Drosophila melanogaster: one gene and its partner. The protein of the gene in region 1 interacts with the protein of each later gene in a pairwise test. Each region holds a gene or a part of one and is shown on either strand. Other genes may lie near its edges.

What was found.
Region 2: the proteins of CG13032 (region 1) and Marf1 interact in a two-hybrid assay, tested with the Drosophila melanogaster proteins (one large-scale study listed by BioGRID).

The regions. Positions count from the first base shown.
Region 1 is NT_037436.4:16,672,036-16,676,946, forward strand, and holds CG13032 (uncharacterized protein), read left to right. Parts: upstream 1-1,928; 5' UTR 1,929-2,112; coding exon 2,113-3,510; intron 3,511-3,566; coding exon 3,567-3,940; intron 3,941-3,998; coding exon 3,999-4,209; 3' UTR 4,210-4,229; downstream 4,230-4,911. Other genes in the region: zetaCOP (coat protein (coatomer) zeta), read right to left, coding at 419-509, 1,022-1,389, 1,447-1,464.
Region 2 is NT_033779.5:22,310,037-22,315,323, forward strand, and holds the start of Marf1 (meiosis regulator and mRNA stability factor 1), read left to right. Parts: upstream 1-1,890; 5' UTR 1,891-2,002; intron 2,003-5,287.

The sequences.
Region 1 (4,911 bases):
AGGTAAAAAGAAATTTACGCCGACACAACTACTTTAAATTGTAATAAGTAATATTATCTGGAAGCATTCATTAAAATAGGTACAATTTTACAACATTTAAACACTTTTGTTGAAACTGAAAATAGATCGTAATTAAACAAAAATGCGAATAACAAATAAATCTAGGCAAATGTGTAAAGCTTGTAAACTTATATTAACTCAGTTACTAACTACATATAGTCTTGAAAAACAAAGAGCCTAATTATTTGTTCATAGGGCGGGTAAAACTAAATGAGAATATATTTGACTGCAGGGTATCAAATTGCGAAACGAAACCAGACAAAATTAAAGTACAAACGGCTACCATTGAGTTATAAACACTTAGAAGAGCTACCAAGTAGTTAGACTACCAAAATAGACCATTAAGGGTGTTAGTTACCTGGGCAACGGTCTGTTCGGCAATGGGAATGTCATCGTTGCGCAGATCAACGCGTTTCACCACCGACGAGGGATCCGCATCCAGAATAATGCTATTTGGAAAACGGGTAAAGGTTTAAATAGAATATTTGTATTTAATAATATGTAATGCATAATATACAGTGATGAATGGCAAAGTATATCTTTTTGTACCTCAGGTGATTTCTAAAGCTCAGCCTATAAACTTAAAAACTTATACGAGCTGCATGCCTAGGATGCCAGTGCTCGTATGTATTAGTTTAATCTTTAAGTTTAATATATTTTAATATTTAGTTTGATTTATATAATTAAACTTTTGTACCTATACCCTAACATCGCAGTTATCATATAACTTTTCATTGGACTTGACTAGGTTTTGTTAAAAAAAAGGAAGCTTTAAATGCGGTTAACTACTTAGAGGCTTCACTTGAGCTGGCCTAACTCATAGACTAGTAAATAACAATGTTATTTATGGGAACTTGTGTAGTAATAATTTGATGTTTTCTAAACGAACTGCTGCTAATGAAAGCTGCTTTAACTTGGTCCCTTGTTCTTTCCATCCATCACTGTATACGCTAATACACACCCTCCGTCGCAGATCTCGTCAAATGCCAGCATGATGATCTCCAGGTTTTCCAGCACCAGGCGCTTCTCAACGTTCTTCTTGAGGATCAGGCTAATGGAATCGTAGAGGCAGTTGAGCACGGACAGCAGGATGAGCTCGTTCTCGTAGGCGTTGCCCATCACGTAGAAGAAGAGGTCCACGTTGCTCTTGTACACGCAGGTGAGTCCGTCCAGCATAATGATCTCCGTGTTGGAGCGGTGCGTCTTATTGAACAGATTCTTTTCGAAGGCCTTCTGCTCCTTCAACGTGGACAGGATGTTCTTGTCGTAGTACTTGGCCAGGATGCGGTTGCCATCGTTGTCCATGATGCACATGCCCTTGATGATATCCTGCAGCACATGTTGGGTTTGATTTTAAGCCAGTTACTTGTGTATTTTGCAATTTACCATCATAAATCCGTCCATCTTCACTTGTTTTCGTGTCTTACACGTCACTTTAGTATGACCATATTGCGACCGCTAAATTATACCAACTAAACAGTACTGCCAACTCGAGTCACAAAATAAATAGCTAGATACAGTTAAAACTATCTAGAAAAACTGTTAAAATTTTTGAATTTTAGCTAAGCCGTTATCGTTGTTTTATTATTATATTTTAAATTATAATTTGAAACACATGGGGGGCTGGCTTGCTTGACGTTGGCCGTACTTTGCTGGGGTATTTAAAATAAAATAATGTAAATGTAAAAAAAGAATAACGGTTTAAATGTAAATTATCCTGTCTTAAATAAAACAACAGTTTGGAAAGATCAAGAAAAGAATTGTCAATGTCAATTTTATTATTGCAGAAACTCTGTTTATTTTTAACTTACCTATTATTGAAGAAATCCTGATTATGACAAGAGTTCCAAATTTAAAAATTGCCTTGCCTTTGATTTGTCTGTTTCAAATGAGGTTTAAATTTGAATAACCTAGAAACAACTGATGACAACCAAAATTTGTGAATATTTTAGTAACAAGAACAGGCACACGTACAAATTATTTTCGCCCAGCCAACGAAATTGTTAGATTCAATTGTGTATATTTTTATGTGAACAACTAGAGGGCATTGCGATGGAGACTTTGCCGGAAGAGTATGTAGCCCATCGGGATCAGGAGCTGTTGGGGTGCAAAGTGGGCCGTTCCTCTCGACGTCGGCATGACCATGATGCCATGGCCGCTGCCCATGTGGTGCTGACCACCGCTGTGGTAAAACCAAAGCCAACAAAGCCGGAGTCCAAAAAGCTGCGCAAAAAGCTATCCGAATGCGAGCAGGAGAAGCAGTCACTGGCCCAGGCCATTCATGAGAAGAATCAGGAGATATCCGACCTGAAGAAATCGGTTGATTCGCTCAACGAGGTGCTCAACTCCGTGCCCATTGATGAGCTGCGCTGCAACTCCTCCATTGCCAGCACCAAAATCCTGGAACTGAGCAAGAAGAACCGCCAGATGCGTTCCGAATTGGAGCAGGCAAAGAGTCGGCTGGGTAAAAAGGATGCTCAGATCGAGAAGCTGGAGAAGGAGCTGCGTGCGCACGAGGAGAAGCTGCAGCATAATCAGGATCTGCCAAAAAAGGGCTGCTCCCCCGATGAGCTCCAAGCCAAGATCAACAGTATGCAGCAGAAGCTCTTCGAAACGCGAAACAGGAACACCGAGCTACAAAGCCAACTGAAACTGGCCCAAAAGTGCCTGCAGCACGAGATCGGTGAGAGCTGCAACATCAACATCCTGGCCAACAATCTTAATCAGGCCAATTGGCGCGGTCGTGCTCAGCAGATCATCGCGCTCAACCAGAAAGTGCACGAGCTCAAGGCTCGCTTGGATTTCTACGAGGACCGAGCCGTAGATCGAGCCGAATATGCTGCCCCAGTGCCGTTGGGTTCGGATCTGGAGTTGGTAACCGGCAGCTGTCGATCACATCATGCCAGCTCTGAGAGATTAGGTGGAGGCGATGGCGGCGGAGCCACAACGGCCAGCTTCGATCGCTTTACACCGGGTGTGCGTAAAAGTGAGATTCTTCATCGAGCCAAGGTGGAGGCTCTGGAAAAGGAGATTCTTAGCCTGCAAAACCAACTGGAGGATCAACGCAGCAAGACACTCGCCCTAAAGGTGAGGAACAAGAATCTGAACGAGGAGATGAACAAGTACAAGATTCTATACAATGAGCTGGAGGAGCAGACCGACTTCAATGGCACCAATATCAATACCATGAATGACAAACTGAACCAGCAGAGGATTCAGTACGAGAACCGTTTGGACGACATGCGCGGCGAGCTGGTCCGGGTGACCGAGGAGCGAGATCTTTCGCGCCGGCAAATGGAAGAGCTGAGCGGTATGCATCTGGAGCTGCAGACGGTGGTCAAGCAGAAGGATGTGGCCATGGCCAGTCTGCAGGATATGATCAAGAAGCTGGAAATGGACCTGCGCGCCCTATCCGGCGGATTCCTCTTCTCCTGCCGCGAGTTTCGAAAGGTAAAACTCTGTACACTAAAACATAAGCTATTAATTTGCTTAATTATATTCCGCAGGAGGAATTTGTGGGCATCCTGGATGCTCTAGAGGTGGAGAAAAATCAGCTTATGTTGCTCACCAAAACTCTAGGAGATCGTCTGGAGACGGAGAGAGCCAAGAACGAAGCAGCTCAGGAGCAGATTGGCAAGTTAAAGGCCCGTATCAGCCGACTGGAGGTCAAGATCAGGGACCTGGAGAAGGAACTCGATGTGCAGTCCGATAAGAAGAAACGCACCCAGCGAATGGCCGACTACGCCAGTTCGCTGAGTCGCACTTCTCTTAACGGATCGATTGGTTCCTTCTGCTTCGAAAATCAGTCCCAGTACCAGTCCACAAATACGCTGAATTCGGCAGGACAGCCTGAGCCCAGAATAGAGGATCTAAAGAATAAGTAAGTTCGGACACGGCAATCCCATCGCTTAATCAACTATAACTACTTATATTTTCAGTCTTGAACTGGCCAAGGAAAAAATCACAATGCTGACAGAGAAGCTGGAGTATATCACCGAGGAGAAGAACGCAGATGCCAAATTTTTCGAGGACACCATCAACAGTACGAAGACCATTATCCTTGAAACTGTACTTGGAGCTCGCGAAAAGGGATTGAGCGATCGTAGCAAAAATGCAGATAAAAGCACGAGCGAGACTTCCATTCAATAATGAAGATGAACAAAACCACGATTTTTATTTTGATTAGTTTTTATGTTCTTTGCAATGCTAAAAAAACTGGACGAGAAGTCATGCCATATACATATTTATATGTAACTGGAATGTTATTAAACTTGCATGGCATTGCAATGCACATCATTGATTCTGAAGTACCGAAAACAATGAGTTTTAAATTTTCATAAATTTTTATTTGATTTGTAACACGTTCACAAAACGAAGCCTTTGGCGCTGCTTCTATTTCAGGATAAGATTAGATTAATTCAAGTATTTGTTAGGTGATTTCTTTCCACTCGAAGCATTTCCAATTGCATTATGCCTATATAATTGTTATTAATTGCTGTCTATAGCTATGCATGTGTGTGTGTGTGTGTGTGTGTGAGTGTCTTGTAAGTTAAGTTAATAATACATTATATATAGCTTGACTTGCCATAGAAAAACGATCCTGCAATCACATATTAAATTAGTTTTAGTTGCCGTTTGTAAATTGCTTCATTATTTGCGTTAGAAATTCGTTCTCCATTGCTCGCGTATGGTATGAAAATGTATAAGTTACAGTATAAGTATATTTTTTTTTATTGATTCTTTAATGCATTATTATTGATAAGCCTAGTAAATTGGTTTTATCTAAAAAACACGTTTTAGCAAATTAAAGGCACTTTCAAGGATTTCTTTTGTGAAACGAAACGATATCTC
Region 2 (5,287 bases), on another chromosome or scaffold:
TTTATTTAATAAACTTCTCAATTTAAAATATTCCTCCTTATTTAGATGATGTAATTGATATTGTGAAAAATCAATTTCTTTTTGATTCCTGATATAAATCAGGATTGTAATTGGATTGGTGTTTTTTGGATATAAAAATTCTGGGTTCTTTCCGATTCTGAGGTAATTAATTATTTATTAATTTCTAACTGATTGCGCATTTGTCAACAATTTTCTACCAATTACGATATGCTAATTATCGTAACTGTGTACATGAAATGTTTGATTTATTTTTAAAATACTATTGCTGGGTAAGATAATCAAGCTTTTCGAAGTAGTAGGCATTTGATGTTAAAACTTCACATATACTATTTTGATATGTATTTTCCATTGATCATATTATTTGTTGATCCTGTATCTAGTAGGCATTTGTATGTGCACCCTTTGTATACTATTTTTATGTATTCGTGTTGTCGGGGCCGTTGACCGAAAATTTTCGTTTAGTTCAGAACCATTTTGATATATATATATTTTGATATATAATATTTCGTTATTAATTTGTACGGGTTGGATCGGTTGTTGCCCTTCATTTATGAACCCATGATTTTGATATGGATTGTATTGATTTTGGTCATAATACTGTTGTTCGTAATAATTAGGTTGGACTTGTTCGAATTCATGTGCGTCTTGGAATCTCATTTCGTCAATAGACATTTTGAAGTTAGAATTCTTAGTTGTGGAGGCTTGTTGTATTGTAGTTGAGGGTATGTATTTCTTATAAAATGTGCTGTTTGAGGATTTTGGATTTGTTGGAAATGACTTTTGGGAATACTTGGTTGAATGCTGATATATGGGCTGGACTTGAAATAATTGGGTGGTATTGATTAAAATTAGGATGGAAGGGTTGAGAATATTGTGGGTAACTTGGTGGATATTGATACAAATACCCAATTGTATTGAAGTTGTGTGATTTTGAATTCAGATAAGGATTTGAGTTTTATTACGGATTTCGAGAAATTTGTTCAATCCAAAATTATTATGTTCTTTATAAATTCCCTCACTCTGTGCAATAGTAAAGTCTGTAATATCACGATGAGCCAAAATATTGTAGTAAATAATTGTATTGGTAGTTATAAGAGTCACTCGTGGAGTCAAAAAGGCATACCAGATTCGTAGAAAAGTATGTAACAGTCGGGAGAAAGCGTTTCCGACTGTATAGAGCTTACATATGTATAAATATATTTGATAGGGATCAATAGCCGGAGTCGATCTGTCCGTGTCAACGTCGAGATCTCAGGAAATATAAGAACTAGACGGTTGAGATTAAGCATACAGATTCTAGAGACATAGACGCAGCGCAAGTTTGTTGACGCATATTGCCACGCCCACTCTAACGGCCACAAGCCGCCCAAAACTGTCAGTTATTAGTCGATTTGACAAAAACTTTTTGCCACGCCCACTGTAACGCCAAGAAGCCGCCGAAGTGGTCACGCCCACACATTTGAACAATTTTTAATTACTTCTCATTTTATTCCCCAATATCTATCGATATCCCACAAAAATGATAAAAATTTCGCGTTTGCATTCATACTAGCTGAGTAAAGGGTATCTGATAGTTGGGGAAAACGACTATAGCATTCTCTCTTGTTGTATATCTGTAAGTTCATTGGATGAATTGAATTTCCTCCCAATTTTTCCTTTTTTTATTTTTTTTTTGTTTGTTGAACAAGGTGCTTGTTAAAGAAACTACAATTGAGCCAAGACAATTTTATAAAACTACAAAAAGAAAAATTATTTAATCAAAATAATAAAAATTTAATTAACCCCAAACTTTTCAATCACCTTCCAGTGCCTATGCCCGCCACCTTCCAGCCTCCACACAAGTCATCAATGTTTTCTACACACGTAGCCTCCTCAGTTGTTTAAGGGATCACAAAGTCTAAGCTTCGCATGTGCCGTGTTGTTTTAAGTGAATTTTGAGTTTTATTGTCGTAAATTATATAATTAGTTCATATACAATCATGTAAGTACAACAAATATTAATAAATATTCTTAGTGGCATGACCATTAGTAAAATATTAATTGAATTACTATATTACTTAATCTAAGCCTATGATTATAGTACCAATATTAATTAAGAATGATCTATGAATAACGATTTTAATCATTTTAATAATCCAATGACTGGTTAAGGCTCTAGGCAAATTACTTAAACAAGTGCTAACGAACATTACATTGACTGCATTTCGCGCGGGAGTATACATATACATACACATTTTTATGTACGCACATGTATGCCAAGAAAATGGCTTAAAACTAAATTCATGTAGAATTTGTATAGTGCACGATAAAAATGCAACCCAAATTCAACCATAAGCACATTTATTTTGATGGTCTGCAGCACTTCGCAAGTTTTGAAACCAATTCGGATATTATATTTTAAATTTCCTTTTCGTTTAGTATTCACAAAATCCGACGATTTTAAACACATATTCATATTCATATAGATAGTTGAATTGAAACTGTTTTCCAACCAAATTGGTTGGAAATTGATATTGATGTGTGTTGTGGATTGGAAAGGAGGATGTGTCGTGTTGCTACGCGTGCATCTTATGAAGAGTGTTGGGATTTATATTGATGTACACATAAACATACGTAACAATTTAAGCTAGGGCTAAAACAGATTAAATAAATTCGAGTTAATAAAATAAAATGGCTCATTATGCACGCTTTTCGTATAATTTCCCGAGCCTATAAAATATGTACAGTATGAAGTGAGCATACACCACATGGCTTAAGCTTAGAAAAAAATATCTTTATTTTTTATTGTACAAAAAATTAATGATGTGATAGTTGTGCGGATGATCTTAAATCCTGCTCGTGGAAGCATTTTTTTATATCATGAACCTAAACAGGTGTCGAATTGTTGTTGGATAGTTTGCTGTTATCACTCGATCAGAATCTATATGCGAAAACAATTTTGCCCACGGCCACTCTACTTCAAGCCACTTCAACTTCAAGCCGCCCACACGTTCGAAAAATTATTTTATTTGTCTACAGTTTTTTTGACAATTTTAATCGATAACCTAATAAAATGAAACAGTACATTTTTCTTGTGCTCTCCCACTATCTGAGTATCCGGTATCAAGAAACTCGACTATATCGTAATTTCTTGTCTTACCTCTTAAGTATTAAGTATTACCTAGTATTAAAATATATATTTGAAATATGTATGTATAAGATGAGTGCTGTGTTTCTCATCTTCCTATATATTATGAAAATTACAAGCTTAAAGTTAACCGCTTAAGACAGATCACCATACGCTCCCTCGATTAATAATTACCTGGAAAGCCTGTTGAGCCTAGATTTTCTTCGCATAAAGTAAATGTACATTTTTTTAACTCTATGCCGCGGAAAAACGTTGGTAATTTGGAAAAATTATATTCCGCCTACAAAAGGTAATCCTTTAAGTAATCCAAATGCTGTGTGATGGTACAGGTGTTGGAGGTGACCTGGAACAACGGACAGACGGCGATGACAGAAATGGGGCGGAGTCATTAAGAAACCATTATAAATGAGGATTCAGTTTGGTTTTATTAAGATTGCAGCGCTTTCTAATTCGGAAGAAATGTTACTTAACTACTACTTAACGAAATTCTGAATATTGTCAACAAAATCTGAAGAAAAATCAATGTACAAAATCTTAACAAATTCTGCAGAAGTTTGGAAAGGTGTGAAAATGAACTTCAGCAAGGTTCAAAAATCTGAAAACAAATTAGTAAAAAAAAAGCACATGTAATGTTTTAATGTAACCAGGGAGTACAAAATGTGTATACATTTCAGGTAACCATGAAAGCAAAGTAATATTTGAAAAGAAAATTAATTAGCTTCCTAGGTCACATCCCCAACCGTAGATGTCTATGAGCAAACTTCTTTGCCCGAATTCGGGAGTCAAGGGAGTCAAGGGAATTGGAGACCTATGCGGTTTTCAGGCACTACCGGTCCACAATAAAGTGGGGAAAACGCATATGCGGTCTTAGCCACTTATTTCTCATTTTGGACTGGACTTTGTTAAGAAGGTAAATGCAAATATTATTTTCGTAAAGAATTCTCTAGAACATGAAAGCGGCACAATAATGATAATTGTATTATTGAATCGTCGAGGGCCTTGGCAACCGGGACCGGGACATTTGCAGACCCTTATCAAGCCATTCCTTAATAAAATCGCTACTATCCAATCCGATTGGGAACGCGTAATTATTAAAAATAACCTTTTCCCAATGGGCGTATCGCATAGGTCATAATCAGAAAATCGAGATAACCTTACAACAACCGCGTGTGTGTTTTCGATAAAAAAGGACATTGTGAAAATGGCAATAAGAAAAACGTATCGTTATCCATTTTAAGAAACTAAAGAACGCTATTGACGCTGAATACTTTACAATACTTCAAATTATGGGAAAAGCTCCACATTTTACAACATCGGACCTTAAATCGTAATTCCATCAAATCGAGTAATTAGAGAAATACAGGGAAACCCCTGAAATATTTTTTAATGACGAACTGCATTTCTACAGAACTACAGAACTGCATTCTGCACCACTCGGACTGCAAATTGCACCAAATTTTTTCCAAAGGACAATCGATGATGCTTTGCGGAACAGATCTTAAATAAACATGCTACGTGTATGTCGATGACGTCAGTTCTTCACAAAAACTAAAGATCATCAAATAAGATATAGAACAGAGCTTAAAAAGTTTATAAAAGCCGGCATCAGGCAGTCTCAAGAAAAGTAAATCGAGGCCTTCCAATCACCTACGTTGATTTACCAAAACTAATATTGCCATCATTCATAGTGATGATGCTCTCTCGTACCTTTTAACTGTTTCCGTAATCAAAAATAATCGCGGAAGCAGACTTCTCATCTACGAAAATCTTTATCCGGCCAAAATAAATTTCTATCGTTTCCCAAAAAAAAACGTTTTGCCACGCCCACTCTAACGCCCTAAAACCGCCCAAAATTGATGGATATTTCTTCATAATTTTATTAGTCTTGTAAATTTATATCGATTTGCTAAACAACTTTTTGCCATGCCCACGCCCACTAACGCCTTAAAGCCGCCAAGACGGTCGCGTCCATACTTGTTTTACAAACATGTTTTACATTTTTTTTTCGTTCTATTCCCCAATATCTATGGATATCCCAAAAAATTTATGAAATTTCAATAGTCGGGGAACTCGACCATAGCATTCTCTCTTGTTTTATCATACATCGCGTAGTCTTCTGAATCCCCAGATTATTTTCAT